Linked DNA regions of Lonchura striata. The protein of the gene in region 3 binds, or shares a complex with, the protein of the main gene of each other region. Links are inferred from orthologs where the notes say so. Each region holds a gene or a part of one and is shown on either strand. Other genes may lie near its edges.

Region 1 (7,944 bases), on a different chromosome or scaffold from region 3:
ACTCGGAGGCAGCTGTCGGGAGACGGTTGCAGCCAGTTTACCTCCACAATTCAAATTCCCAACCTGGCGGGCGGAGGAGACCCGGACGCTCCTCCAAGGGTCGCGCCCGGCAGCCGGCATTCCTGCCGCGCCGCGCCGCGCCGCGCCGCCCCGGAAAGGCGCTACGCCGCGCCCGCCGCCCCGCGATCATCGCGCCTGCCTATCGATCGGATCCATCCATCCATCGATCGCCGGAGTTACCGGGGCTGGGGGAGAGGAGTGCGGGAGGGAGCGGGGGCGGCGGCCTGCGCCGGTGCCCGCGCCCCATCGCTTACGCCAAGGACTTTTCCCTCTTTTTTTTTTTTTTTTCCCCTTTCTCCTTTTTTCTTTTTTTTTTTTTTTTTTTTTTTTAATTTCCGCGTGTGTTTGCGGAGAAGTGAAAGGCAATTACGCGTCCGCGCACCGGGCACGCTCCTGCCGGCGGGCGAGTCCCCTGCAGGTCACCGGGCCGGGACGACCCGCGCGGACCGGGCGCACACGCGCGCACACACGCGCGCGCGCGCTCTTCCCACAGGGAAAGGAGCGCGGCCGCGTTACGTGGATCTCACTGCGGTAACTCCAATCAGTGACAAACTAATTTGCTGAGAGCGCGCAACGGCGCAACTCGTTCTGCTCGGAGATCGAAAAAAAAAAAAAAAAAAAAAAAAAAAAAAAAAAAAAGGCAACGGGTTAAAGAGAGAAGGAAAAAAAGGCCCCGTGAAAGATAATGGACGTTATCCCCCGGGAGCCCCCCGGTCCGGCACTCCGGTTACAAAATCCAATCCCCCGCCCCCGTCCGTCCCGAGCTGTTTGTCCTCCGGGCCCTGCGTCTCTCCGACACTGTTTCAAAGTGGTGGGAGAAAATATTAATTGGGTCTGAGAACAACCTAATTTCGGCAGCGAAAGCCACACTCCGGTGCCTCCAGCCCCAACGCATTGTGCACAGCTCACCCTCGCTACGGAGGCAGCGAGGGGCAAAAGTGGCCCAGAAGAGAACGGGGGGGGGGGGGGGGGGAGGGGGGAAGGGGGGGGTAAAGAGAAAAAAAAATAAAATACAAAAAAAAGGGGGTGGGGGAGAGAAAGAAAGTGAATTATAAAGAAACTAAGACCCCGACACGAGCGACACAGACACGAACCGTCATTAACCGAGCGCGGGGAGTTACCTGGGTCCTGCTGATGGCCTGCCCGGTGTTCCCGGGGCTCATCGCCGGGTGGTTCCTTTGTTGAGCCGCTGCCCAGGCCGGGTTCGCCGCTCCGTACTGGGCGCCCATGTCCTTGCCCATGCCCATGCCCGCCGCTGCCTGCTGGCTTCCCGGGGCGGCCGCCGCTGCCTGGGGCTGGGGTTGCGGCGGGGCGCTGGGGCTGCTGTAGTCGGGGTAGCTGCTGCCGTAGCTCCGCATCATGGGGCTGGGGGACGTGAGCAGCTGGTTCAGGGTAGGGGTGGCCCCGGACGGGTGCTGGTTCTGCCCGGAGAACCGCGCAAAGCCGCCGGCCGCCGCCGCCGCGCCGGCACCAGCCTTGCCGAGGCCGGCTCCGCCGCCGGGGCCCATCATCATGCCGCCGCCGGGCTGCCTCGGGGAGCTCAGCACCCCGTATCCCGCCGCGGAGCCCCCGTAGCCGCCGCCGCCTGCCCCAGCGGCCGCCGCCGCCGCCGCCACGGCTCCCGCGCCGCCGCCGCCGCCCGCGCCGCCGCCGCCGGGGCCGCGGCCGTAGCCCGGGTAGTGGTTGTACTGGCTGTTGGGGTACCCTTCGTGGGAGTTCTGCAGGGGGTCCATGCTGTTGGGGGCCGCCGTGGGGTGCATTATCCCCATCCCAGGGCTTTGTTGTCCGCCATGTTGATCAAAGCAAGGCCCGGCGCGGCTCGCCGTAGCGCTGCTGGCAGGGGCAGGGGCAGGGTTGCCATAATAGCTATTGAACTCCGAGACACCCACCGCGGAGGGGCCGCCGCCGCCTCCCCCGCTCCCGCCGCCGCCGCCGAGGCCGCCGCCGCCGCTCCCAGCGCTCGGGGGCGGCTGCTGGGGCTGCTGCTGTCCGCCCAGGGGTCCCAAGCCGGGGTGGTCGTAGCGGCCGCCGATGGGCTCGCCCATCTTGCCGGGCATCTCCTCCTCGTCGGCGCCTTTATTCAGCATTTGCTGCGGCTGCTGGGTGGGCTCGGCCTGAGCGCCCAAAACACTGTCTTTTCCTCCATGTTGCTGCTGCTCCATGTCTGCACTGGGCTGAGCAGCGCCGCCACCGCCACCGCCGTTGTTGTTGCTGCCGCTGCCGCCGCCGCCGCCGCCGAGGCTGCTGTTGTTATTCTGCACGGGATGGTGCTGAGGCGGCGGCTGCTGCGGCGGCGGCGGCGGGAATTGATTTAGCTGCTGCTGTAGTGCATGGTGGTGGTGGTGCGGGTGGTGGGCATGGTGGTGGTGGGCATGGTGATGCGGGTGGTGGGCATGGTGGTGGTGGGGCGGCGCGGCGGGGTGATCGCCTCCGACGCTCTTCAGCTTGTGGTTGGGGAGCAGCCCCGTCTCCATAGCCGAGCCCGGGTTGGAGGAGGAGGAGGAGGAGGAGGAAGAAGACGAAGAAGATAACTCCGAGGAGCTTCCACCTTCCTTCAGAGCCGGCTCCGAGGAGGAGCCGCCACCGCCGCCGCTGGCGTTGTTGTTGTTACCGGCGGCAGCGGCGGGAGCCGCGTTATTGGCCATGTTCGGCGGCTCGCCGCGGTGGTGGTGGTGGAGATGGTGATCTAAATTATTCACGCTGTTGCTGCCGGCCGGACTCCCCTCGCCGACCCCCAGTGCGGGGCCCGGCCCGGGAGCCCCGGCCCCCCCCGGGCCTCGCTCTGGGCCCAGGCCGCTCGGCAGGCTCGGGGCTTTGCCCTTGCTGTTGTTCGCACTCGCCGGAGCCGCTGCGACTTGCGCGGCCATGATCATCGCAACATTGCGAGTCCGGAGAAATTGGTGCAGATAATAGTAACTACAGAAAAATTTAAAAAACCCCAAAACTGAAAAACTAAACAAACAAAAAAAAAATCTACTCCCACCCTGAAAAATGGGGGGTGAGCAGAGGGGTGGGGGGAAGGAGAGGAGAGGGGCAGAAGGGGAAGCGGCCGGGGCAGGGACTTGACTGAGCCCAGAGTATCCCCTGCGGACCGCTCCGCACGCACCGAGTTACAGCGATTTCCCTCCCCGAGTCCGTGGTTGAGGTTAGAAATGGTAAGAACGCCTTACGGTCCGTGCCCGTTCCCGCTGTGTGATTTCACGTTGAAAGTTTTTTGTTCAGGTTTAAATGAAACTTTTTTTTTTCTCCTCCTTTCCTCCCTAACCCGGATATGGGTAAACACACGTCTGCCGGAGCCGCGCTGGCCCAGCATGGCATGAGCGAGCGAGCGAGCCAGCGCCGGCAGCCATCGCCCCCTCCGCCCCGATCGCTCCCGCGCACCCGCAAAACGCGGACTGGACTCCACGCTGGACTCGATCGGGCGCCCGCTCCCCTCCCTGCTCTCCCGGCAGCGCGGCGGGATGGGGGGCGCGGCCCTCGCGGGTCCCCCCGCTCCCAGCGGGGTCCCGCCCGTGTGCGCGCCGGGGGTCGCGGCCTGCGCGGAGCACCGAACCCGCGGGAGCTGCTCCGAGCGAGGGGTCGAGGCGGGCCCCGACGGGCGCCGCTGGGCGGGGCGGGGAGCGGGACTGTCCCCGGTGCTGCGGGGCCGAGGGTGCCGCCGGCGGCGCTGCCCCGCGCGGGCCGGTTCGGCGGGAGGGAGGCGAGGAGCCGCCATGCGCTCCAGCTGTGCCGGAGAAGATGGATCGGTCAAACTTTGGGGGGCCGCACGCTGCCCCCCAGCCCCGTGTTCCGTGCTCAGCAGCCGCCTCCTGTTCCGAGGGCAGGGACACGTTTGTCCGTGTGACGGAGAAATTAGACTTGTTTTGGATTCCCCCCCCACAAGCCACCCGCCCCTTGAAGATTTATATTTGTATGTATAGACGGTTATAACATTTAACCTACAATTCTGCAGTGGTAGCATCTTTGCAGTTGTCCACATTGTCCAGCTGTCTCCAAATTCTAACGGTCATTTGCACTGATGATGCTTTTATATATAGGGCCGTTTTCAATATGTTCTGTGTACTTATTTGCAGTTCAACAAGAGATGATCAAAGAGCCAGAGACATTTTCAGTCTCATAATTGATTCCCCAAACAATATAATTTCCAGTATGCACAAGACACTCATGTAAACGTAGTAACACAAAACCCAAAATATATAATCTGAGTAACTTGCTCCAAATGGAAAGCTGCTGCTGACCTACATTTTTGAACTAGAATGGTTTGAAGGTTTTTTTATAACTATCTTAATACAAGGGATACCTTAGTATAACAAAAGGTAATAGTCACACATTACGTTGAACTAATGAAAGCATTTGGGAGATTAAATACTTGGCTATGAATACAGCAAACTGGGATATTAGCGAACGTTTTCAAAACAGCAAGGGTCTAAACCACGATGTTTTAAATTAATATATTTATACGGTCTGTTAAAGTTAAGCACGTTTTCAAATTTCAAAATGGATAAATAGGAGATACAATCATAATGGTAGAGAAAAAAGCATATCAAGAAAGATGCTGTCATGAGTAGGTAGGCTTTTTTGAATTCACTGTGAAAATATTAAAGGAGCAGAAGCTTCATGCTCTAATGTTGAGTTACATGTAAAGATTATTGATAAATGTATGAGCAGTGTGATTCCAGCGTCTATTAATTTTAGTTCTGTCTGAAAAGTCAAAAATATTATGATTTGCATTAGGGAGTTAGTTTTGAAAAGTCTCAGTGCTCGAGAAGTACATCTTGCTAATACTTCTGTTTTACAGTTGTGGGGTTTGGTTTTTTTTTGTTGGTTGGTGGTTTTGTGGTTTTTTGGATTTTTTTGTATCCTTTGCAAGTGCAAAAATGTTGTATGGCTACACATATATAAACACAGAGTGGGAAAAAAAAAAATGGTGAGTAATTCTAGCGGGGGGAATCAGGTGCATACCCAAGGGTCATTACAGTCTGTAACAACAACAAATTGCAATTCTATGCAAACTGCTAGAAAGGGATATATCATCTTTGTAGGAGAGAGAATAACAGAACCGTAAGATGAATTCATGCCAAATCATTCATCTGCTTTTGCCAAGAGAATACTACATCTTTGTTAGTGAGCCTTTTTGACATTATCTCCTGGATTTTCTTCTTTTCTATATTCAAATGCACGCTAATTATACACATTAAACCACCTAAGTTGATTTTAAAAGTCTTTCATATGCAAATAAAAATATAGACTTCTCCTTGTGTGTATTTCTTTACATGTGTACTCTAACATAAAATATAAAATCAATTAAACACTTATACTTTGAGACATTTCTATTTGAGCAAAAATACGTGTATCGATGATCTGCTAAGATGTGCTGATAGTGCCCGGGCTGCAGATCGCAGTACTTCCTGACACACTCCGCAACTCTTTCCAATCGGGAAAATAACCCGCAAAAGTTTAACACAGATTTACTTTGAAATGTTTTCTCTGGGAAAAGGACAAAAAAAGCACGAGGCTTTAAACTGAAGAGTTCGTACCACTAACTCCTTTTCCTCCCATTTGTTTCAGCAACTCGGCTACAAGATTGGAACTAAGAGGCTATAAAATTGAGGCCCTCAGCACAATGAAATCAGTCTGCTATAAAAGGCAACACATGCCAGTTTTTCCTCCCCAATGGCAGATGCCACACCCTAAAGCAGACAGAAGGCACTGCAGTCTGTGCAAGGGAAGCACAACACAAAGCAACAACGATGGTTCAATTTTCTAGAGCGCAAATAATGTTGAAATTCCTTTTGCCATCTTTGCTCAGATGATGAGTGGTAGTGTTTGTTAAATTCAAATGCTTCTTTCCAAAAGCTCTCATTGTATGCATGAATTATGAATTTATTATAATATAATGTAAAAAAGCTTTAATTACCGTGCATATTATCTGCTGCAAAGTGATTGCATTGATATTTGATATCGCAAGTGCGCAGTTTCAACTTTAGTTTTATTTTCATTGTTCCTTCCATTTGATTATTTTCTATAAACCAGTGTTGTCCAAGTGTAATTTATTTCTCTTTATTTTTCTTGATAAATTATAAACTGTGGTGCTCTAGGATCCCTCATCAAAATAAACAACATAATTTTCTAAACTTGCTGTTGGTAATTTGTTTACACCATTGGCTACAGCATTTATACAGACACCCTAGGCCACCTGTCTGTATCTCAAGCCCATGAAAGTTACTGCTTTTCCCCTCAGTACAGCAGCCATCCTTCTGTTTGGCCTTCCAAGTCATACAAAGAGTAACACTGAAGAGAGAGACGGAAAACAAACCAATATTGTAATATCTCTGAGATGTTATGTTAGAGGTATTGGGAAAAATATGTTAAATTTTTTTGGTAAAAATCCAATCTGAGTTTCAAGACCCTGTTGGATTTGACATTGGTGTGCACAGGAATCTGAAAAATCTCTGTGTACAAAAGAAGGAGCTTTTCATTGGGATCTTGTTGTGCTTTATGGTTAAATACACTGCACAATTTAATGAAACTGTTGTCAAATTCACTGTAATTCTCAATTTCCTTCTTTTACATTTGCATTTGATTTAATGAGAAAAAAAGAGAGAAGTATGGGGACTTTTATTAAATTATCACTTCTATTACTAGTTAAACATCCAATCAAAATCATTCTGAAGTCAGTGCAAATCTTTTAATTTATTTCAATAAGGCATAAATCAGATCACAGAAAAGTAGGCAGCCAGCTCAGGGTTGTTTTAGCCTGGCATTTAGAACTATAGTAATGGAATTTTGCTTTAAAAGATCCCTTATGTGGTCAACATATAAATATAACACAGGGTTGTTTTCTTTATTATGTAATATTTACATTTCAGTCACAAATGTAAAAAATAAACTAGTGCCATAGATGTCCAGCTGATAAGCCAGATTCTGTTAGGTGTAAAGCCTGTAAGGTAAGTGTAAAAATTTTATTTTAGCTGGACAAAGTGAACTTTGAAAAAAATGTGGTTTATGCCAACAGATCATGGCCTAAAACACGCAGAGAGTGACACATTGTACCAATTAATTAAAATCCAATCTTTAGCAGCTACTAATCCTGGGCAATTTAATCCATTTCTTCTGGCAATGTGTGAACAAAAGGACTTTACAACATCACCATCACCATCTCGAAAATGTCATACATTATTTTATTATGAAGATGCAACCCGCTAGAGTTAGATCACTTGAATAGACTGCTTAAATGCCTCAATTTTACAAATGCGAATCATCCATTGAAGTCAGTAAGATCACTTGCTTCCTTAAACTTAAGCCCTGTGCTTCTGTGCTTAAGTCCTGTGCTTCTGTGGACTGAGGCCTCTGTGAAAAAACAGCTCTTGTGTCTCTGTTTTGGTGAGATAGGGGTCCAACCAATTGTCTAAGCCAAAACAAAATCTTGCATTTGGCAGTAATAGAAGGATTGTTGATTTCAGGGTTCACCTACCAGTGAAATCTAAGCCTTTAAACTGAGTTACTCTAATATTTCTGGATCCTGTGCCAATGTTTGAGAACATCATTGCATTTTGGAGAAATTTAGGAAAAGGCTGGCCTTCCTTTGAATTAATAATTTATGATCACATTTTTTATAAATTAGAAAAGTTAAACAAGAATCAGTATAACAGTAATCATAGAGTTCTCTGCCAAGTTTCTTTCCCATTCTCCTGCCTTTTACAAATCTTTTCTGATGTGCAAGAGATATATGGGAAACCAAAAGAAATATTTGTTGCTCACTACACACTGGTTTGGAGGTCCTTCCTTTTGCCACTTGTAGCATGCCAGGTTGACTGATACGTTGAAGGAACAGTCAAACTGACAGTACACAGCTTTCACTCTCATAAAATAAATGAGATTGGT
Region 2 (7,058 bases), on a different chromosome or scaffold from region 3:
TGGGATGAATGGCTCAACCATGGAGAAACAGAAAAAGCTCCCTCCTCTTCTGGCCATAGTTTTGCATTTACCAACACAAGCAGTGACAAATGAATAACCACCATCCAACAACTATGGTAATTTATGGAACAAGTTATTGGCTCTTTCCCAACTTCCAGTGACAGCATCAGAAACGTATCTTTATTTGTGGCTATCTCAAAGGCTGAGCACAGAACAGATGCATCTATCCCAGCCCATCCCCATTTTCCAACCAAATCCAGGGATTTCTTTCAGGAGGCACTCAGATGGTTGACAAGGTATGGCAGCACGAGGTAACTGCATTAAAGCATTTCTCTTAGAGACAACTTCAGGCACACACATGAGATGAGTAAGGTAGGAATAATTAACAGCTAGGAAAAAGAAAAGCAAAAGGCCAAGGCAGAGGGATGGAGATACAATCAATAATTTACCAGATTTACCAGAGTAGAACCAGCACCTCGAAAAGCCAATCTCCTCATAGTGTCTGATGGGCAAGCACAGATACTGCGAGAAGGGGACACTCTAAGAGTGGCAAACCAGTAATGGTGTTAGTACAGCCACAACTGGAAGACAAGAAAAAGCAAAGAGAGAGAGAAGAAAATTCAGACTAGGTAGATAAAGAATAAAATCAAAGAATAAAGTGGATAATTACAGTGACAGAGAAAAAAAGCAAGAAACAGAAGGCAACTTTTTATAGCCCAGCAGAAACTCTACAAAGTAATTCTGTACACAGAATGCTAGACACTTCTGTCATTGTCACAGTAAAAATACATTTCTCTCATGTTCCTGAATATGCATTACAGATTTCACCGCCACTTGCTAGAGAATGATTCATCAAGAGCAGAAAGTAAACAGAAGTGATACCTGACCTGAGAGTACAAACCAGAAAGCTGTAAAACTTACAGAATGCAAAGCAGTACAGTGCTTATAAGAACATAATCTTAAGGTCAACAAGCATTTATTAAACTCTAAGATGATGCACCTCCAAAATTCTTCAGAGTAGACTTTTATACTCAGAAGTAAGCAGTAAGTATGCAGCCATACGCTAAAAAAAAAAAAAAAGTTTCAATTTCTAAGCCTCCAAGCCTTATTTTTTTCACAGAAATTCCATGTGAAATACACAGAACCATTTAATAGCAAAATGTTTGCTTCTGCGTAGTTCTTCCAACTCCTGCCTTCAATCAAACCCCAGAGAGGTTCTTTTACAGTTCAGCACTCTGAACATTCTCGTAACATGAACATGCAGAGAAGCTCTGTGGTTTATCAGCAGGCAATTCATTTTGGGAACTGACAACAGCCTCAAGCCTTGGCACAGCCTCCAACTTCCATCTGAGGGCTACAGTCTGGAGTGGCTCCACCAGGCAGGTGCTGGGAAACACAAGCCCTTGGTTGTGGAGGAAAGGCAGGAGGGACTACCAGAATCAATAATTCTGCTTCAACCAGGAACCCAAGAGTACACTCAGACCAGTCCCATCCTGAAATAAAGATCTGGGAAGCTCCCAACCAGAACTGCCTGCAGACTGTACATCAGCTGCTCCATGTGTACTGTCCGGGGCACAATGCTGTGGATCTCAGCCATACTCTGACACTGCTGTGATCAAGGTACCCTCACCACTCACACAGCCTCCAAAACACGTTTTTCTCCTCTAATAACCCTGTAAAACATGCATCAGTCTGGACAACATCACAAACACTCAGGGAGAGACCTGCTGATGTACCACTCACTGAAGGTGAGGCTCCAAAACACAAACTTCTTCCTAAACTGCCACACTCCTAAGCACAGAGAACTCAGCTGTGCACAGAAACACAGCTTTGCTGAAGAACCTCTCTCCCTGAGTTTCTTCTGCAATTGCACTGCTGGCTCACAGGTCTCTCAACAGTCACACCAAGAATCTCCACTGCTACCACTGACCACCTCCAATTCAACAGCAGCTTGAGCATCTCCTCGGTAATTGCCCCCACCAGCCATAAAAATGTCACAAAACCACAGCAAGAAAGGCTTTGGCCATTACTAATTCACATGTATACTGATATACACAACGGGGGGAAGGAAGGAAGGCTGTCCCTCCCAAAAGCTGTAGGGAAGGACCACAACAAGTGTCACCCACTCCAACCTCCCTACACCCACAGGTTTTACACTCGTCGGACATAACACACTTAAAATAAAACGTTCTAACACACTAGAGGTTCATTTTCTGCCTCCAGGCAGAGGAAAGCGAAAAGCCAACAGATACCACGGGTAGTACTTATTGCTATCAGGATCTCCCACGTTTCACCAGAAACACGAAACACGGTAAATTTAGCAAAGGGAACAGGGGAGGGAAACGCAAAGGGAACAGGGGAGGGAAAAGCCGGAATTTCCCCCGGTTACCGATCCCATTGAAAGCTGCTACGGGATGGGAAGAGGGGGCTGGCAGCAGCCAGGCACGGTAACAGGGCAAAGCTGACGGGAAAGCGAGAGGGACAACACATCCATCGTTTTACCGGCACCGGGACAAGGAACAAAGGCAGCAAATCCGGAACTGCCCGAGGCGCCGGAGCCCTGCCCGGGAGGTGAGGCGCTATCCCCGGCAGGAAACAAAGAAAAGCCTTTCCCGGCACCGGGCGGCCAGGACGGGGTCCCGGGCCCGCCCCGCGGGGCACGACCCGCCGCGCTCAGCGCGCGGGCCCGGGCGGCGCCGGCACGGGAACACGGCGGGAGCGGGGCGGGGAGGAGGGGCTGAGGCGCACCCGGGCCCGGGCAGGTGACGGGGGCCGGCGGCGCTCGGTGCCCCGGGCCCGGCGCGCCGGGGCCGCTGCGCGCTCGGGCGGCGCCGCCACACAAAGGGAGGCAGCGGCCTCCAAGCTCCGGCCCGCGCCCCGCCCGCGCCGCTCACCCCGCCGGCTCCGCTCCGCCTCCCGCAGCCGCGGCCGACCCGGGGTGGGTGCGCGGGGTCCGCCCGGCCCGGCCCGTCCCGCCGGTACCGCCCGTCCGACACCGCCGGTGCCGCCGCCGCCGCTGCCGCAAAGCGCGCCCGGCCGCCCAACGCGCCGAGCCCGCGCGACACCCCGGCGGGGCAGCGCCGGCGCGCTTTACGGCAGCGCCCGCCGGCGGGAGCACGTGGCGGCGCCATGAAGCGGCCGAGTGAGCGCCGGGAGCGGCTCCGGGACGGGCACGGGCACGGGCACCGAGCGGGCGGGAACGGCACGGGGAGGGCGCGGGCGGCGGCCCGGCACCGGGGGGCGGCGGCCGCCCGTGGCCGAGCGAGCGGCAGCGGTGGAGGAGGCGGGAGTCGGGGCCGGGGGATGTTTGCGGCGCTGACGGGCGCGGTGCGTTGCAGAGCTGCGGAAGGCGAGCAAGAGGCTGAGCTGCCACAAGCGCTACAAGATCCAGAAGAAGGTGAGGCCCGGCCCAGCGCGGCCCCCGCGCCGCGTTCGGCGATTTTGGGGCCGCTGCGCTGAAGTTTTGGGCCTCAGAGTGAGAACGTTTCTTGTGCCTGCCCTCATTTCTTGTGCTTCCCTCAGATAAGAGAACACCACCGGAAAGTCCGCAAGGAGGCCAAGAAACGCGGCCACAAGAAGCCCAAGAAAGACCCCGGAATTCCCAGTGCTGCGCCGTTTAAGGAAGAGCTGCTGCGGGAAGCGGAGCAAAGAAAGCAGAGGGTAAAACACAGTTTTCGGTAAAGAGAACAAGAACTGAGAGCATCCCCTTCTGTAAGGAAGCTTTGTGTGCACTCAGAGGAGCAGTCATGGTAGATGGTCCCAGCAAACTCGTGCTTTGGAAAAATGATGTATTTATTTCCAGCACCGTACCGTGTGCATTGATTTGCTCTTTTATTTTTAACCTTCGTTTCCTCACTGGGATGGGAGCATGCTGGAAGTGTCTTTTCTAATGCAGTCAGAATTCCCTGTGGTGCTGGGATACAGAAATGTCCCATCAGAGTGCTGGGAGTTAAATCATGGCATTATGTGATTACACAGAAAATCGGGATCTGCTGTCTGCAGTGTGCACTAATGTGGCATTTGTCAGCTGTAGTGGTGGCTGCAGCGCTGCTGTTCTGGGATCAAGCAAATGCATGGCTGCCTCTGGGTAGGATGCAAAAAAAGAGTTCCCAGAGTTACTTGGACAGCCAGGACTTCTAACTGAGCTGGCTCAGGAGCTTGGGTCAGGAATGGGGAGAAAGAACATTCTTCCTTAGCACCTTCGAAGATGTTTTATCTGCCCTGGGTTTTTGTTTGTGATCAGCTTGAAGAACTGAAACAAAAGCAGAAGCTCAATAGACAGAAAGAACATGAAAAGAAGAGGAAGCTGGAAGCTAAAAAGAATGCAGTCACAATCAAGGAGAAAGCAGAGGGAAAGGTAGGGGTCCTGTATGATTTTGATTCCTTGAACCTGGAGAAGTCATCCTGAAACTGCACCTTCTTAAGCAGCAGTTTACATTTTCATGCTGAATATGCACACAAGTAGTAGACACTAATTCTCATTTAAATAATTTCCTTTTGTTTTTATTTGCTTTAGGACTCCCCTGGCAAATCTAAAGGAAAGACTAAAAAACCACTGAATAAAAATTCTAAGAAATCATTCTGCAGGGAGCTTATGAAGGTGAAATGCTTTAACTATTTTTTTTATCATTAGATATAGATATATAGATATTTTATATCACTAAAGAGTCAGCAATAAGATCACTTGTTATTTTGCTTTTTTTGTATTACTGTTTAGAGCACAAAGTTTGTCTGTGATAAACTAGAACACTGATGGGATTTTACAACAGAAAATGTTAACTATTTTTGTAAGCCACAGCTATAGCAGAATTGTAATCTGGTCTGTGATGTCTTGTTGGATTCCTGTCTTTTTTCTGACCCAGGTGCTTGAGGCCTCAGATGTAGTTCTGGAGGTTTTGGATGCCAGAGATCCAATGGGCTGCAGGTGTCCTCAGCTGGAGCAAGCTGTCACTTCCTCTGGAGGGAACAAAAAGCTGCTCTTGGTTCTGAACAAAATTGGTAAGAAACACAGGTTTTCTCAAAGTGTTACTGGCACTGTGTTTCTGTGGTGGGTGAGCTATGAAGATTTTAAAGGAATCTGAGATTCCATTGAAGACATGAGATCCAACTCTGAGCTCACTACAAAGGCTGGAAATTACCCAGTACCAGTAGCTAATTAAAGAAAACAAAATACCAAGAGCAACAAGAAGAGCAAAGGGAACTCTGTGGTAGAAGTCAGAATCTTTCACAGATCATTCTGTACCATGCAAAGTCTTCTAGCCAGAGCCCAGCATTAAAAGCCTAATACAGAGGCCAGAAATGTAATTGTGATATGTTCTGCTAAGGCAGAAAGAGAGACTCTGTGTGCCTTTGGGGAAGGTATCCAGTACTTCATATTAGAGTTCTCAGCCAAATGGTATTTGTCATGATAGGATTAATTTAAGGAGTGAAAGAACTGCTCTTCTTTCCAGATTTGGTGCCAAAGAACAACATAGAGAAATGGTTGAATTATTTGAAGAAGGAGTTTCCAACAGTTGCTTTTAAGTCAGCAACAATTATGAAGGACAAGACTATGGTAAGAGCACTGCAGGCTGTCCCACGAAAAGTTCATGTGTTTGCAGTCATACATGTTGGAACATCTTTAAAATTCCTTTCTCCCTGGTTTGGTTGCACTTTTTGGTTGATGGATGTGCCTTTACACTTCAATTGAGCTTTGCAATACAGTGGGAGAATTCTTAGCACGGAAATTACAGTAGATTAATAAATCTAAGTATCCATATTTTATCTTCCTTAATAGCTCCTGACCATGGGCTTTTTTTTGCCTTTGAATCTGGTAGCAGGAACAGGTCACAAAAAGACATGCACGTGTTGATTTCGCAGAAACCACTCAGTATTTTGGAAGCAAATGCCTTTTGAAGCTTCTTCAAGGGTATGGCAAGACCCAAGACAAAGCCATTCAGGTTGGGGTTGTAGGTAAGTGTTTGGAGAAACAGGAGGAGTTTCTTTCTCCTATAAAGCTTTGGGATCCTGTATTCCTGGACTGGGTAAAACTGCTGACACCTGGTTTGCTAATGAGCTTTCTAGTCACTGTTCTTTGCTCCAAGACTCTCAGTGTTGTAGTGCTTCAGCTGCCAGGGATCCATGGTGCACTGCCATGTGCAGCACGGGGATCTGTGGGAGAACAAAGAAGGCAGGATATGTGCTCCACTGGCCCTGCCTTCCCCATGCCTGACAAAAATCCCATGGAGTATAGCACCACAAATCCTACAAGTGTGAGAAATGAGGATACATTCTTTGTCTTACTTCTGTAGTGAAGACTTCAGATCCAACTCTGATCTCACACTGATGCTTACGTTAGCAAAGCTACCTGGAAGAAGCTGTTTTGATTGGTGTTAAAAAGCTGTTTTCTTATTAACTTAAAAGGATTTATGTGATTTTTCCTCAGGTTTCCCTAATGTGGGAAAGAGCAGCATAATCAACAGTCTCAAAGGAAAGCGTGCTTGTAATGTTGGCCTGACAAGAGGTGTTACCAAGTAAGCTCAGTCTGATAAAAGCTGTTCCTTTCCTTGTTTGTTGTGTTTCAGTTACCATGAGTTTGTGTTTTAGTCCATTAGGGACAAAGCACACCCAGTGTGCAGTTTTAAATGCACATTAAAATTTGCAAGATGAAAGGTATTGGTATGTGTGATGCAAGCTTTCTCCAGGGGATAGTGTATAAACTTGATGTTTTGCAAAGCATTCTATATTGTGGAATATGTATGCTTTTGCTTGAAGGTTGTTTTGTTTGTTTAAATTTTGTTTGTTTTGTTTGTTTAAATTTCTATCCTACGCAAAGCACATGATGACAAAACATTGAAACTGACTTTATGAAGTACATTCAATCCAACACTGAGCTTTGTGTCTTGCATCCCTCACCATTACCAGTCCTTCACTGATTATCTGCTCACAGTGCATTTTTCTCTGAACAGGTCCATGCAAATTGTGCACCTTGATAAGCAGACAAAGATGCTGGACAGTCCAAGTATAATTGCAGATCCTTCTAACAGTGCCCTCACTCTGGCCTTGAGAAGTATCATAGA
Region 3 (7,550 bases):
TTCTTCCTACTTAGAGTTTGAAACAAGAATCAGTACATTTGTTCTGACCTTCAGGAAGTGAGAGGAAAAGCCAAAGTGAGAATTCAAGAGCTCCTGGCTCCTAGAAGCCTCAAGGATTCCCACCTCCCAAGTTATAAATAACACACAAACCCCACCTGCTGAAACACCAACCCACTTTTTAGAGGAAACACAGCAAAAAGCAGCTCACCTCTACTAGGTGATTGTCAGGGCCATACAGGTCTTTATCAAGTTCAATGACCAGAGATTTAAAGAAGGACGAAAATTTCCTTTTCTGCTTGGTGGCATCATATTTGGACAGAGCAGACTGCAAGCAACACAGGGAGGAAGAGGGTTAGGGCAGCAAGTCTCAGCACTCAAGCACAGCCACCGTGCACAACAGCTCCTCTAAGTTCTGAACACCTGAATTCACCAACGTGTGCTCAAAAATCAAGTTTCCAAGTCAGAAAGGGAAAGACTGGAGTTAAAGATGAGCTCGCAGGAGTTAAACCCCTCAGCAGTTACGTACAATGCCAGTGCCCTGGTTCTCAGAGCCGGGGACACAAGTGCCACTGAGCTGCTCTCACCAGTGATTCTCACAACTCTAAGAACTTTGGACAATTCATGTCCTGCCATGGGGACACCCATCGGTCTCCAAGCTGGGCTCTCGGTCTCGTCACCATCAGACTCCTTGGGAAACAGAGATGAAGGAGGATATCAAGCCCCAGCTGTGCTCTCAGACACTGGGAAACTGGTTTCATTGCCAACTCCACATCCACAGTGTCCTCTGAGGATGGGCACTTCCCACTTACATCCTCCAACAGCCGTCCTTCCACCCGAAGCTCCCAGGAGGCGACGGTTCCTTCGCCGTCCTCCGCGTCCGACTTGGCGGGGTTGAAGGTGTTGGAGATAAAAATACGCAGCTTTCGCTTTTGCTAGGAGAAAAAGCATCAGCTCAGCGTCAATCCTCCTGCACAGGGCCAGCTGTCCTGCACAGGCTTTGCTACAACCGAGCTCAGTGTTTTCAGCTGCCTCGCATTCTCCCTCTCCTGGAGCACACAGCGAGGACCCACTCTGGTCCCACTCTGTCACCCTGATTTTTAAAAGTGTTTTCTTTTATAGATATTTTGAAAGTTTTAAAGTTCTCATAGAACTTCTTTAACCTTCTGATAATGTTTACAGATTTCTACTGGAGTTCTCACACGTTGTCCATGTAAATAATGATTGTTTTGCATTCTCCTTTGTGGGAAGAGAGAATTGATGGACTGCTGGTTTGACCAGTGTGGTTGGAGAGGTGGCAATTTCATCCTCCAATCCACTGTCACTTTTAGAATTCTATTTATTATGAGGTCAGAAATAAAATTAGCTCTTTTTCTCTTTTAAACTTACCAAGCTTCTGTGTACTCGCGTCCAATAGCGACACCAGTCCCTGGCTGTGTCCAGAGCACTGGGACCTCTGATATGCCACACTCAGAGGACACAACCCTTCAGTGCCCTCCTGCTGCCTGAACTCAGGAGCTTCCAAAGCCTGGAGACAACCCAGACTCCCCTTACCTTGATGGGACGTTTCAGAGCCTCCTGGATGTCCAGGCGCTTCCTCATGATGGTCTGGTCCAGCTTCCTCTCGAAGGCCAGCAGGTCCATGTAGGCCTGGGATTCGGGCACGAGCTCACGGATCTGTGGCCAAGCAAGGATGGAAATGCCCACCAGCTCCCCAGGCTGCCTCACCTCCCCCCGAGCCCCTCCCCGTACCCCACTCACCCGCTGTGGGAGGATTTTATCTGCCATCTTCTTCTTCTTGGCACTGACAGGGGCAAGAGACAAAAGAGGCGTGAAAATGGGAATGGCTCTGGGCACAGGAGCTCAAAGACCTGCAGCACCGAGTGGCCAGGGGCTCCCCAGTTAGCTGGGCCCTGCTCCAGTGGGGCTAACTGGTTATCTCAATGTTCCCCACCCTTCTGAGCACAGGAACAGGAATTACATCTATTAAAAACAGGCTGCCTCTGTTGGAAAGAAGGTTCACCCCTTGGGAAGGAGGACTTGACACAACATCCACACCAAGTGACCTCCAGCCTCAATCAACTTTGGATTGCCTTTTCCAGGGACAGCATTTTAAATCCAGGACAAATTTCATTCTCACTGGGCCATCACATCAGGATGCAGGCATGTGACATAAACTCAGCCCTGCCCTGCCCAGCGTTGTCCTCCAGTCCCAGGGGAATGCACAAGGACCTGACAGGACCCTTCAGCACTGCAGGAGGACCAAGAACTCCAAAATCCTTGAGATTGGAAAAGACCCATTCCAGACCCTTGACTCCAAGCTGTACCCGATCCCCACCTTGTCACCAACCCAGAGCACTCAGTGCCACGTCCATCATTCTTTGGAAACCTCCAGGGATGGGAACTCCACCACCTTCCTGGGCAGCCCCCTCCAAAGCCTGGCCATTTCCATGAAGAAATTCCTCCCGATCCCCACGACAGCCCAGGGGATGTTGCTGCTGCTGCCCCGAGATACTCCCATTGTCCGGGATGTCCCCAGGAGCCGGAGATGTCCCCGATAGCCCCGGGATGCGCCCTCTCCCGTGCCTTACTTGTGGTTGCGGTTGGGCACCGCCTGCGGCTGCACCTGCTGAAGCTGCTGCGGCGCAGGCCGCTTGCGAGCCTGGTCCAGCCCGGCCTGCGCCAGCGCGGGCCGCACCGCTGGGCTCCCTCCGTACCCGGGAGGCCCCATGGCCGGGCCCTGCGGCGCCAGGCGGCCGCCCGGCAGCATCCCGGGGCGCTGCGGAGAGAACAGACTCGGTCAGCGCCCGCCGCGCCCGGCGCCGCGCCCCGCCCCGCGCCGCCCCGCCTCACCGGGTAGGCGGCTCCGGGCAACGGCGAGCGGTACAGGCCCTGCCCCGGCGCCGGGCCCATGCGCACCGCCCCGCCCGGCGCTCCGGGGCCCAGCGCGGCCCCGGGCGCGGCCCCAGCGCCGCCGCCGCTCGCAGGCCCCGACTGGAACCCGGCCCGCGCCGCCATCTTGTCTCGCACAAAGGGAGCGGAACCGGAAGCGGCCGCGCGCGGCGCGCGGAGCGCCGGGGAGGAGCCGCCCGCGGCCGCCGCCCGCAGCGCCCCCTGCCGGGGGAGGACCGAGCGGCGGCGATTGGGGGGGCGATTCGGGGCCGTGAGGGACTGGGGGTGCGGGAAGGGAATGGGGACAGTGAGGGGTGGGACTGGGGGTGAGGAAAGGGAATGGGGACAGTGAGGGGTGGGACTGGGGGTGAGGAAAGGGAATGGGGACAGTGAGGGGTGGGACTGGGGGTGAGGGAAGGGAATGGGGACAGTGAGGGGTGGGACTGGGGGTGAGGAAAGGGAATGGGGACAGTGAGGGGTGGGACTGGGGGTGAGGAAAGGGAATGGGGACAGTGAGGGGTGGGACTGGGGGTGAGGGAAGGGAATGGGGACAGTGAGGGGTGGGACTGGGGGGTGCAGGATGATCCCAAACACTGGGAAGGCTCGGGGGTGTCAGCCTCCACTCCCCAGCTGTGATTACAGCCCCTGTTCCCTGGTGCTGGAGCCTCCCTTGCTCCGGGATGTGCTCGGAGGGAGGTGGATGTGCCTTTCCCAGGCATGGAGGGCCCCGATGTGCAGGTGTGGCAGTGACACCCCTCACCTGAGCTCCCCCCTGTTACATTCAGGAGGAATTTCTCCATGGAAAGGGTGGTGAGGGGCTGTCCTGAGAGATGGGGGAGTCACCATCCCTGGAGATGTCCAGGGAAAAGCTGGACGTGGAACTCAGTTGGGATCAGTCACAGTTTGGACTTGGTGATCTTTTCCAACCTCAGGGATTCTTAGGGATGAAGTTTATGGGGAAAACAAATGGCCACAAATGGGTCCAGTTTGTGCAGGTTCAGGCAGAGCACCAGGAAAAAGATTCCTGTCTCCCCTGGGGTTGGAGTTAAAGGCCACTTTCTGCAAGTATTAACATTAAGTTCCTTTTCCCTGAAGCGGTTTCTTGTGCCCAGAGAGAAAAGGGACACAAATCCAGTCAGCATTAATCCGTGGAAAAAGCCAAGTGTGCAATCACACCACGAGTATTAATTAAACAATTAATGATGATCATCTGATGAGTGCTGCCTCCAGCCTGGAGGTCCCAGCCCAGGGAGGATGTGGAGCTGCTGGAGCGAGTCAGGAGGAGGCACCAGGATGATCCGAGGGATGGAGCAGCTCTGCTGTGAGGAAAGACTGGGAGAATTGGGATTGTTCATTCTGGACAGGCTCTGGGGTGACCTCATTGTGCCCTTCCTCCTTTCTCCTGTCCGGAGGGGTTTGGTGGAACAGCTTTGGAAATGCCTCCCCTGCACCTGCTGGTGGCTCCATGGAAACTTTGGCAGCAGCCGGGGCTGTGGCATTGTCCCTCGGTGCCTGCTGTCACCAGCAGCCAGCGAGGGGAGACGGGGAATTCTGACCTGCGACAGGAGGTGGTGCAATCTCGGGATCTCCACAGAGCCTGAGTGGGCTGGGTGTCTCCATGGGCTGAGTCTCCGTGGATCCTGAACGGGCTGAAGGTCCCCAGAACTCCCTAGATCTCCAGAGGCTCCCTAAATCCTGGTCAGGGTGAGGCTGCCTGTATCTCAAACAACTTCAGATCCTGAACAGACTGAGGGTCTCCAGATCCCAAACAGCCTGAAGCCCCGCATCCCCACGGGGCTGATGTCCCCAGCCCACTCCTGCTGTCCCCCGATGCTCCAATGGACACGATGGAGTCTTGTGCCTGCAAAGAGCAGCTTCTGCACGTCCCATCCCGGTGGTACCTGCTGCATCCCACGGGAATTGCAGGGCTGTGCTGCCCCTGGGGCTCAGACAGCTCCCGGAGAGCCGCTCTGTGACAGATGGACGGGGTGACCTGCTCCCGGCGCAGCCGAGGGATTACAGCCCCCGGAGCCGGGGGGATATCCAGCCCCCGGAGCCGGGGTATTACAGCCCCCAGAGCCGGGGGGACTACAGCCCGCGGAGCCGGGGGACTACAGCCCCCGGAGCCGGGGTATTACAGCCCCCGGAGCCGGGGGTATTACAGCCCCCGGAGCCGGGGGGACTACAGCCCCCGGAGCCGGGCGGATTACAGCCCCCGGAGCCGGAGGATTACAGCCCCCGGAGCCGGGGGTATTACAGCCCCCGGAGCCGGGGGACTACAGCCCCCGGAGCCGGGGGACTACAGCCCCCGGAGCTGGGGGATTACAGCCCCCGGAGCCGGGGGGATTACAGCCCCCAGAGCCGGGGGGATTACAGCCCCCGGAGCCGGGGGGATTACAGCCCGCGGAGCCGGGGGACTACAGCCCGCGGAGCCGGGGGGATTACAGCCCGCGGAGCCGGGGGACTACAGCCCGCGGAGCCGGGGGACTACAGCCCCCGGAGCCGGGGGGATTACAGCCCGCGGAGCTGGGGGGATTGCAGCCCCCAGAGCCGGAGGATTACAGCCCCCGGAGCCGGGGGACTACAGCCCGCGGAGCCGGGGGTATTACAGCCCCCGGAGCCGGGGGATTACAGCCCCCGGAGCCGGGGGGATATCCAGCCCCCGGAGCCGGGGGGATTACAGCCCCCGGAGCTGGGGGACTACAGGCCCTGGAGCCGGGGGGATTGCAGCCCCTAGAGCCGGGGGGACTACAGCTCCCGGAGCCGGGGGGATATCCAGCCCCCGGAGCCGGGGGGATTACAGCCCCCGGAGCCGGGGGGATATCCAGCCCCCGGAGCCGGGGGGATATCCAGCCCCCGGAGCCGGGGATGCCGCGGGGAGGGAGCGGGCACGGCTCGGCTGCGATTATCGGGGTCATTAACGCCCTCCTGGCCCGTCCGTTCTCCTTCCAATCCCACCCCCTGCCCTTTGCTCCTCCAGCTCTGGCCGGGAAGCGCCAGAGCGGGGTGAGACTGTTCTCGTTGAGATGCAAAACTGCATTTCTGCCATTTCCAGGAGCCAGGGGACACGGTCGGAGCCAAGGGACCGGGGGAGGAGGGTGTGCGTTGGCATTTCAGCGTTCCCTGCCCACTCCCACTCCCTATTATTCCATCTCCATGGAGTCCTGAGGGCTTTTTCTGGATGCCCTCTGTTGGATCTGCTCTGTTGTTACTACTGCTCTTTGTAGCTGGAAATTTTTAGGACAAAAGGTGTGTGTGTTTATATTTGGGTTGTGCTCCCAGGATGAAATTCCACCTGGTGACTCCTGTGGGTCCCAAACCACGGAGCTGTCAGGGATTAACAGCTCTGTGAGTGTTAATTCTCCTTTCCCTGCTCAGGAAGAGGAATCATTTCCCTCCTCCAGCCCTGTGTTCCTTGGGAAGGCAGCGAGGCTGGAGCTCGATGAGGCACCAGGAGCTCCCAGGAAAGGGAGGCTCAGCCCAGCCTCAGCTCTGCCCCTGCTCCTGAAGTCTGGCCCGAAGCTTTTTCCTCCCCTTCCCTTTCCCTGGGCTCCAGGAGCATCCCGGGATGAGGCTGTCCCCACCTGCCTCCTCGGGGGAGCATTTCCAGCAGCTCAGCAAGAGAGAAAGGCTTGGCATGGGGGAGTTATATCATTTATATCATTCTTTATATCATCGTTGTTAAGAGTAGCAGGTATTGATGTACAATGCATCTGTCATCTTATTGTGCTTCCTATGAAAATGTGTGTACATAGTACAGATACCGGAGAGAATTCCACACTTTATACACTTGAAGGCATTCAGAGATCAGTAACAGAAAAAAAAAAAAAAATGGCACAAGAACAAGGCCTAAATGCTACTGGATGGGTATCTACAGTGGCATGATGCATATAGATATATATATATATATGTACACATATATATATAGTCATATATATTATATATAAGAAATATAAAATGCCGATGACATAATAACAAAAAAGAGTTTTCTTCAACAGGTGAGCCTCAAGGTCAAATCCCAGCCCCATCTTTAAAAGCTTGAATGGGAAAGATAAAGAAAGAAAATAAATAAATGAAACATGATGAAACATTAGGAGAAATCCATAAGAAAATTTATGGATGTGGCCGAGCCGTCGTCTTTGGGTGATTGCTGGATACAAAGGAATGACCCCCAGTTCCTAATTTTGGTCAGGAAGCAAATAATAAGAATTAAAATGACAAGAATAAAAACCAAAACTGCCGTTTAGAAAAAAAAAAAAAATTACTAAAAAGACTTATTGCAAAAGCTCTTAAAGATAAGTAGCACTTTGGGCCCGGGGAGGGCTCTGGCCTGGGGGCTGGGGGGGCCCAACGGGGACCCCGGAGGGGACTGGTGGGCACTGACAGGCCCAGGGGGCAGTGACCTGGTGGCCACGGACCCCAGCCAGGGCAGGGCTGTGCCAGGGAGGGGCAGCACGGCGCTGGGAACCCACAGACACCCCAAACCCCCCGGGCCAGGGCTGCCGGGGCTCAGCGGGGCTGGAGCCGTGGCCCCAGGGCCCCCCTGAACCCCGGGGGTGTTGGGGCTCTGCTGCCTTCCCCGCCACGGCGGTGCCAGGGGGGCATCCCCGGCTGGGGATGAATGGGGCCAGGGGTTTCCTTGTGCCTTTCTCCCCGAGGAT
Region 4 (7,535 bases), on a different chromosome or scaffold from region 3:
AGACTTGAGCCAGGCTCTGGGAACTTCTGTCTCCCCAAATTTTTGAAAGCTTCAGATTGAGGCCTCCATGTACATCTTACTACTAGAGACTCCTCTTTAGTGTTAAAATGTATTTTATCAGAATATCCCATTAAAAAATAGTGGGTTTGAGTCCAGACATCAGCATGCAAGTAATTAAAAACTGAACAGTGCATACAATAAAGAAAACTGGATAACAGAATCAGGCCTGAAATCAAGATACACTAAAGATGTCCAAGATTTGTTGCTATAAGTTTAGAGGGGAAATTTTGCTTAAGAAAAAAGCTAAAAATTTGAGGTCCCTTTCATGGATACAATTCCCAAAGTTGTGAAGAATGAATTGTTGGTGCCAGTTTTTACACAGTATAGCTCCATAGTTATCTTTGTTATGCTGACTATGTAATTTTTTTGGGAATGTGTCTGTAGAAGGCTGGTGTTGAGTCTGTAACACTGACACTCTGATATCTTTTCCTCCTTTTTCAGCTAAGCAACTATTGGTAAAGATCAAAGAAAGGGAGGAGGAGGGCTGACAAGAAACAGTGTATGAGAGATGCCTGCACAGCTTTAATAAATAAAAAGGGGTTAAGGCTTCAAATCTCTTGCAGGATATCTGTGCATGTGGGGCCCTGTTTTGCTGTAACAAGCTACATTATAGCACACTATCTTATTTAGACCTATATGATTCTGATACTTTGAATATTAATATATATTAACAAAAGAAAATTATAAATCACTAGAAATACCTGAGAATATTTAACAGTTGCTAATCTACCAGAAACCACTTTTTTTCAGCTCTGTTCTTTGTTTCCTTCCACAGCAAAATTAGATTTGTGGCTTTTAATGTTGGTGTCTAGTTTGTTTCACTTTCCAATTCACAAGAGTTGAGGAATATACGATAAGAACCTAACTTTCTTTCCCTCCAGAAAGCAGCAACTCTACGTTAAAACTTAACAAGATAAAACAGAAAGCAGAAGATAATAAGTACAAGGTAAAAATTCTTTCAAAGTTTGAAATATTGTCAGCTAAAATAAAGCTTTTCAGGGTTATGTAAATAGTAAAAATGTTTGAAACAGAGGCATCACACTTACCAATACACTGAGAAGATATGACACTGTGTTTCTTCTTCTTGAGTAGAGACAAGCTACAGTTCTGTATGAGGGGCTGGAGGTGAGGTGGTGGACTCCCTTCTAAAGCCCTGCTCACTCTGACCCTATAGATGCAGCATGCTCAGGCCTTGTGTTAATGCTACAGATGTTACCCCAATAGATTTGTGTCAAAACTTACCTTTTTCAAAATTTATGTGCTGGCTGTCCAAACATTTGGCAAGCTCTCGTTAAGAATATGCCCACCCAGGGCTTTTTATGCCATATACTTTTAAATTATTTATACTTTCTTGCAGCCTCCTTGCTATGTTTCAGGTGAGTGTGAATAAAACTAACAGTAACTAAGTACAAATGTAAAAATCCTGAAGTTGTGATTTAGTGTATACGTAACTGAGTGTGTCTCAACTTTGTTGGTCTTTCAGGATGTAAAACAACAGTAGCATTACTGATTAGTGACTTATGGTACATTAAAATCAGAAGAAAAATTAATCTAATAACCTACCAATGATGGACTGGTGTATATGTAAAAATGCAGGTAACTATGATGTGGCATGAAATTTTTATTAATACAGGTTTGTGATGTTCCCCCTGCTTGCAAACAGTGAACATGTAAACAAGTTCTGTAGTTCATTACAAGCAAAATGCCCATCAGTGCTCTGTGCTTTTTCTTTCAGCTAAAATGGTAACCTAACTGTTGTGGGATTCTGCATGAAAAACACTGTGGGCAAATTATATGGACGTGTGAGCAAAGCCTGATCTCTTCATTACTGCAGGTGAGACTTCCCACTGCTCTGATATGGCAGCTCTGTCCTTGGGTGTCCTGGAGATTCCTTTGAGTGAGGCAGTGCTGTTGACTGGCTCTCTTAGCCAGGAATGTGGGGTCTGCCTGGGAAAAGGGCTATCAACAATCCAAGGTCATCTGTGCCTGTTCTCACTGTTTGTTGCTTTTGCTGGTAGCTGATAAAAGCCCAACGTCTGAATAACAGGAGCAGCCAGGGAAGCCTGTATGGCTTCATCCCGTTTTTGCAATACACTCCCTGCCAAGCTGTACCAAGAGCTCATGGCCTGCAGAGCAGGAATGGGCCTATATATCCAACAATATAGGACCAGAGGGACTCATTAAACTTCTAAACATGACCTCAAACAGGGTTTCTTAATTATTTGAAAATGTCACGAGTTTGCATTAGAAAATCTCAGGGCTTTCTAGAGCTTGGTCAGATTTTCGTACCTTCTCTCAGTAACACAAATCTATCTCCTGTTCTGCAGTGTGATATGGTCCTAGGCTGTTTTTTTCTTATATGTGAAGCAAAATCATTATCCCACAAGTGAATATTGCCCATCCTACAGGAAGTACTCAAGTGTTTGCCATCAAGCAAATATCACAGCAACAAGAAAAGTCAAACCAGAAATCCTCGTATTAGTGAGATGGGGTGTAGGTTGCTAGTCTGTGGTCACCAGTTCAGGTGCATGCTATGCCATTTGCCATTTATTTCTTTGCAGCACACACATCAACTGTGTGCTTGTGACAAGTTGGCAGTTTGTGGTTAGCTTTTCCTGTGAGCAGTGAGAGGTACTATGCAGGGAGGGTCTGACGTTGCATTCAATGTCACCTGGACCACTATATATTAAATAATATAATGTAATATGATAATGGAAATGTTCTTAAAGATTACTTCCCAGAACTGTTTTGGGATAGATCTCAGCATCTTGGAAACTCTCCAGCTGACAGAAAGCTTATTTCTCCTAAGCAGTGCCTGTAACCAAATGGCTTAGATTGCTTTGATGGAAGAGATACTTCCCTCCAGGGATATACGCCTGGCACAGTACCTAAGTTGACCTAGTAGCGGGAATAAGTAAAGTTTCAGAAAGAGGGACACTAGACAGATCCTAAATTTTAACTTCTTGCAAACTTCTGATGAATCCTTAATGAACAGAAAACCGCTGCATTATACTTATGTACCTGTCTTCACTGTGAGTAACAGTCATACTCTTTCTGTTCTCCATTCCTCTTCCTTTTCTCTTTTGCCCTAGTATTGGAAAGTTTTATTTGTAAAGTAGTTGAGCAAGAGAGATTTTGGTTGTCTTTACTTTTTCAAGTTCAGTCCAGGAAGATTGCTATTTCTACTTCTGGTAATGTCTTACAAACATCACTATTTTCATTCTGTTATTCATTAAGTTGGGAATGAAAATGTTTTTCTAGTTTTTCTCACTTTTCCCTCTGCTTTGACAGTAGTGTCTTTTAATTGTCTTTAGTTGAGTTTCTTCTGAATGTATAGATGCAAAGAATGGCGATGTAGGCTTGATTTTGGTGGTGCTTCTTTGTGTTTTTTAGAAGGATGGAGGATGCCTGAAGGGAAACGAGGCTTTTGGGAGTGGAAGAAAAGTATGAGATGACAAAGTTGACATTGCTATCAGACAAGTAAAAAACTTGTTTGATTCTGCTCTTGTTGGCACCTAATTTACACTGGAGCAATTTCGTGAACTTCAGTGAGTTTACTTCTGAGAGTGAGATCAGTATCTGAGAGTGAGATCAGGATTGACACCTCTTAAATCACTTGGGTCGTGCTCCATAATTCATTCGCAAGTTCCTTTAATTAGTTGCAGGTAAACCCAGGCTTCCTGGAGTTCGCCGCCTCCCTAGGAATGGGCTCTGCGTGCTGCTCCCTGCCGCGCTCCGGGGTCCAGCCTCCGCCTTCTGTCTCACCGCCGGGCTGCATGTCCGGTGGGACGCGGGTCAGGGCTCTTCCCCTCGCGGCTCCCTGTGTCGGACGGAGACGGGGCCCGGCTCCCGGCGCGCCAGAAGTTGCTCTGTGGGAGAAAGTTGCGGGGCTGTGCAGGGCCGGCCGGGCGGTCCGGCCGCCGCGTGTTATGTAAGGGCGCAGGGGCTGCGGGCCGGGATGACTGACAGGGAGAGGGAAATTCCTGGGGGAGGGGGAGCGGGAGCGGCGCTGCCCTGAAGCCGCTGCCAGAACCGGCGGCTCACGGAGACCTGCGGGGAGCGCGGCCGCGCAGAAAGGGAAGCGGCGCGGGAGGGACGCTGCCGGGCAGCGTGCGGAGCGAGCGGGCAGCGCGGGCTCGTTCCCCCAGCGGGGCAAGCCGCCTGGGAAACCGGGGGCTAGCGGCGGCGGTGCGAGGGGACGAGGAACGAGCCCGGCTTCCCCTCTCCCGGCGCGGCGCGTTCGAGCCGGGGCCGGAGCGCGGCGGGGAAGTGCCTCGCTGGAGCCCGGGGTGCCCCCGGCGCAGCGGCGGCCTCGGCGGCGGCGCTGCCCCTTTAAGACCTGCTCGCCGCCAGTTCCAGGGAGAGGGAGTGACCTCTGGGCTTTGACAGCTCCCCTAATAACTAGCAGCGCCCGGCCCCGCCCCCGCCGCGCCATTGGCTGGCGGGCCGGTATGCCGCGCTGCCATTGGCTGGCCGCTTCCCCTGAGCGAACCTTTAGAACTCCGAGACACAATATTCTGTTACATTGTAGCAAAATGGCGACTGTCATTCACAACCCCCTGAAAGCGTAAGTAGGAATCAAAAATGTACATATTCCGCGTGGTTTAAATATGAAAAAAGGCGCCTTTCCGGCGCCGGCTGCCAGCCGGAGCCGGGTGCCGGCAGCCTCTCGGCGGGTCCCTCCTACCGCCCTCCTTTCTGCCTCAGCGGCTCGCTCGTTTTTTTGTGCAACACATCCCCGCGGCTCGCGCCGAAATTAACGAGGAAAAAATTGTTGGGTTAATTGGCGACCGGGCGCGGGGCGGGGGGCGTCGGGCCGGGGGGCGGCGGCGGGGAGCCCGCCCGGCGCTCCCGGAGCTCAGCGCGGGGTCGGCGGCGGCCGCGTCCCGCGGGGGTGCGCGCACTTGACAGCGTCCTGCCCCCGCTGCCCCGGCGGGCTGGCCCCGCCACCGCGCTCGGCGGGGCACCGACCGGCCCGCGGGGGCGCTCGGTGCGCGGTGCCTCCGCGCTCCCACCGCGGCTCGGAGTTGCCTCGGGAAATCTTTGGGGAGTTGGGATGTCTTGACGAAGCGACCCCCCTCGCTTCTCGGCTGGGCGGTCGGAAAGCGGGGCGGCGGGGGCTTTGCCGGTGCGCCTCGGCGCCCGTGCAGGAGAGGGAGCGGAGAGGCGAGGCAGGGAAGCAGACTTGGGTGAAATGAATGACTCGGGACTGCCGGTCGCTGATTTTGGGCAGGAAGTCCGGAGATCTGTTTTGCATATGACAGGCTTTCGCTTTTCAAAGTGGCAAAGAGAGTTGATTGTGTTTCCATCTTGAGAGCGGGCACAAGCCGCCGAGGGCTGTACGGACGGGGTCTGACCCCAGCTTGAGAGAGGGAGGGGGCAGGTACTTCTGCTGCGGAGGTATTCCGGGGCTCCCGGTCTGGAACTAGGGCTGATTTCTGAGGGGCACCGCGGGAGCCGGTTGTCGTCTTCTGGATCGCGTCCTTTATTTTCCTTGTGGTCTGCAGCGCACGCCGCTAATCCCCGAAGGCATTAGGGAGAGTGGGATTTGGCACCGTATGTGGGGAGCGGAGCTATCTTAACCTTTTTCAAACGACTTCCCTGCTAACGGGGGCAGCGCTCTTCCTAGTGAAGCAGGGAAGCAGAGTACCTGGCGGTGACGCTTCGCTTGCACTTTCTGGCTGCGCTGAGTGGGTGTTTTTATACCTTTGAGTTTTGTGAGATGAAATTAGGGCTGCGAGGTTTTTTCTTTTTCTTTTTTTTTTTTTTTTCTTTTTTTTTTTCTTTTTTTCTTTCCCGGCTCGAGTCTCTCCGCCTGGAGTTGGAAAAACACTTGAAGGTTTTTCCAGGGATTTCTGCCGCTGTGTCTCTGCGATCCAGAGGGAAAGGAAAGCCTCGAGCTGGGAAGGGGTGCTGACATGTTTATCAGCTTTCCTGCTCCGTCCTGGCAGAAAAACCTTTGCTTTCATTTACTCGCCCTCTCGGATATAAAAATCCGCGGGGAGAGGGGAGCGCAGTTGCAGGGGGTTAATCGAAGCAGTCCGAGTGTCCTCATGGGTGGGTGCCGAGGGACTGAACGCGCTCTGAAAACCGCGCGGCAGAGGCAGCGTTTCTCCCCCCGCGTTCGACGGCAGGTTTACGCTTGTGCAGGCGACAGCGATTTCTCCCCGCGCCCCTCCCGGCCGCCGGCCGCGGGCAGAGCACCCCGGGGCCGCACCGCCCGGCTTTGCACCTGGGCACGGAGCACCGCGGATGCGTGCGCCGTTCGCGGCTGCTGCCGGTAGCGGGGAAGCCCGGGCTCGGTGGCCCCTGGGGACGGCGAGAGGGAGGCGGGGAGCTCCCGGGAGCGGCCACGGGAGCACGGCTGGCGGCCCCGGCCCCCGCCCCGCCGGCGGACGGGACCTTGCCGCCTCGCACCGCACTTCGTGGCACCGTGGGGCTCCCGGCAGCCGCGGCGCTCCCTGCCGAAGGGCCGCTTGTGCCGAAATGAATCGGGGCCCGATCCCGCTGCTGCTGAAGTCTGGGAGGACAGGATGAGGCCATTTATAATTAGCTCCCTTCTCCTCCCCTCGCCCCTGGGGGGTGTGAGAGGAGGAAACAATAGACATCAAGTGCTGGTTTCGCTTTTCTCTGTGTGCCTTTTAAAGTACTAAGGCTATGTGGAGGAAGTAGAATTGGTACTGGCTGTCTGACACCATCTGTAATTTTGTTGACAACTTGTTTAATAAAACATTTTATAATTTTCACTTATTCTTTAAAGTTGCTGATCGGGAAACAATACACATGTAAATAAATTATGCATGGGATAAATTAGGACAAAAGCAGTAGGACACATAATAGGGGAGGGATGCAGTCCACATTGTTTTATCCTCATGTGTCCTTCCTGACAATGAACGGGAGCTGAATGACATTTGCATTTCCTCTGTCTGCGTTTTGATTGTATCTCAGAACCCACAAACGCCCCCTACAGAAACCGGCCACACAAAGGTTTTGCTCCGAAATGGGGGACAATGTAGGGACTGAGAAATCCTGGCTCAGGTATCAAGCAGCTCCTTGTGTATGCTTGTGCATTTAGGAGTGTCTAATATTCAGTTTGTCTCTGGCACTTGGACACACATGTGGCCTTGTTCATGCTACACTACTCTCTCTGAATAATGTATTCCAGTACCTGAGCATCTATGGGAATGCATTTCATAGAACAGCTCAGTGTGTGGAGTCCCTTATTAATGATTGGTTTCTCCCTACTCAACTTGCCTTTTCTCTGTCACTTTCTGGTTCTCTTTTGGTGCTTTCTTCCCTCTGCTCTTCTCCCCTTCACTTCCTCTGGTGCACCAGTTTACCTGACATGACTGTCTGTTATTTCTGCCATTTATTAGCTTGTTGTTTACGGTGCTACAGACAAAAATATCTGAGATCTAAGTTTAACAGATCTGCAAGGTAAAGGTAGCAGGTGTTTGGACAAGCACATGCTTCTT

What was found.
Region 1: SMARCD1 (region 3) and ARID1B share a complex: the UniProt entries of both Homo sapiens proteins name them as parts of the neuron-specific chromatin remodeling complex. The link is inferred for Lonchura striata from reciprocal best matches to the Homo sapiens genes SMARCD1 and ARID1B.
Region 2: SMARCD1 (region 3) and PBRM1 share a complex: the UniProt entries of both Homo sapiens proteins name them as parts of the SWI/SNF-B (PBAF) chromatin remodeling complex. The link is inferred for Lonchura striata from reciprocal best matches to the Homo sapiens genes SMARCD1 and PBRM1.
Region 4: SMARCD1 (region 3) and DPF3 share a complex: the UniProt entries of both Homo sapiens proteins name them as parts of the BAF complex. The link is inferred for Lonchura striata from reciprocal best matches to the Homo sapiens genes SMARCD1 and DPF3.

The regions. Positions count from the first base shown.
Region 1 is NC_134605.1:54,590,818-54,598,761, forward strand, and holds the start of ARID1B (AT-rich interactive domain-containing protein 1B), read right to left. Parts: upstream 3,007-7,944; 5' UTR 2,934-3,006; coding exon 1,182-2,933; intron 1-1,181. UniProt on the Homo sapiens protein: Involved in transcriptional activation and repression of select genes by chromatin remodeling (alteration of DNA-nucleosome topology).
Region 2 is NC_134614.1:9,332,006-9,339,063, reverse strand, and holds the start of PBRM1 (protein polybromo-1), read right to left. Parts: upstream 3,009-7,058; 5' UTR 2,895-3,008; intron 582-2,894; 5' UTR 498-581; coding exon 450-497; intron 1-449. Other genes in the region: GNL3 (guanine nucleotide-binding protein-like 3), read left to right, coding at 3,130-3,142, 3,339-3,397, 3,523-3,660, 4,244-4,357, 4,517-4,600, 4,863-4,998, 5,451-5,554, 5,817-5,952 and 2 more. UniProt on the Homo sapiens protein: Involved in transcriptional activation and repression of select genes by chromatin remodeling (alteration of DNA-nucleosome topology). Required for the stability of the SWI/SNF chromatin remodeling complex SWI/SNF-B (PBAF).
Region 3 is NC_134629.1:8,796,716-8,804,265, reverse strand, and holds the start of SMARCD1 (SWI/SNF-related matrix-associated actin-dependent regulator of chromatin subfamily D member 1), read right to left. Parts: upstream 3,016-7,550; coding exon 2,851-3,015; intron 2,777-2,850; coding exon 2,589-2,776; intron 1,802-2,588; coding exon 1,759-1,801; intron 1,675-1,758; coding exon 1,552-1,674; intron 933-1,551; coding exon 810-932; intron 326-809; coding exon 209-325; intron 1-208. UniProt on the Homo sapiens protein: Involved in transcriptional activation and repression of select genes by chromatin remodeling (alteration of DNA-nucleosome topology).
Region 4 is NC_134608.1:35,481,765-35,489,299, reverse strand, and holds the start of DPF3 (zinc finger protein DPF3), read left to right. Parts: upstream 1-4,533; 5' UTR 4,534-4,595; coding exon 4,596-4,627; intron 4,628-7,535. UniProt on the Homo sapiens protein: Belongs to the neuron-specific chromatin remodeling complex (nBAF complex).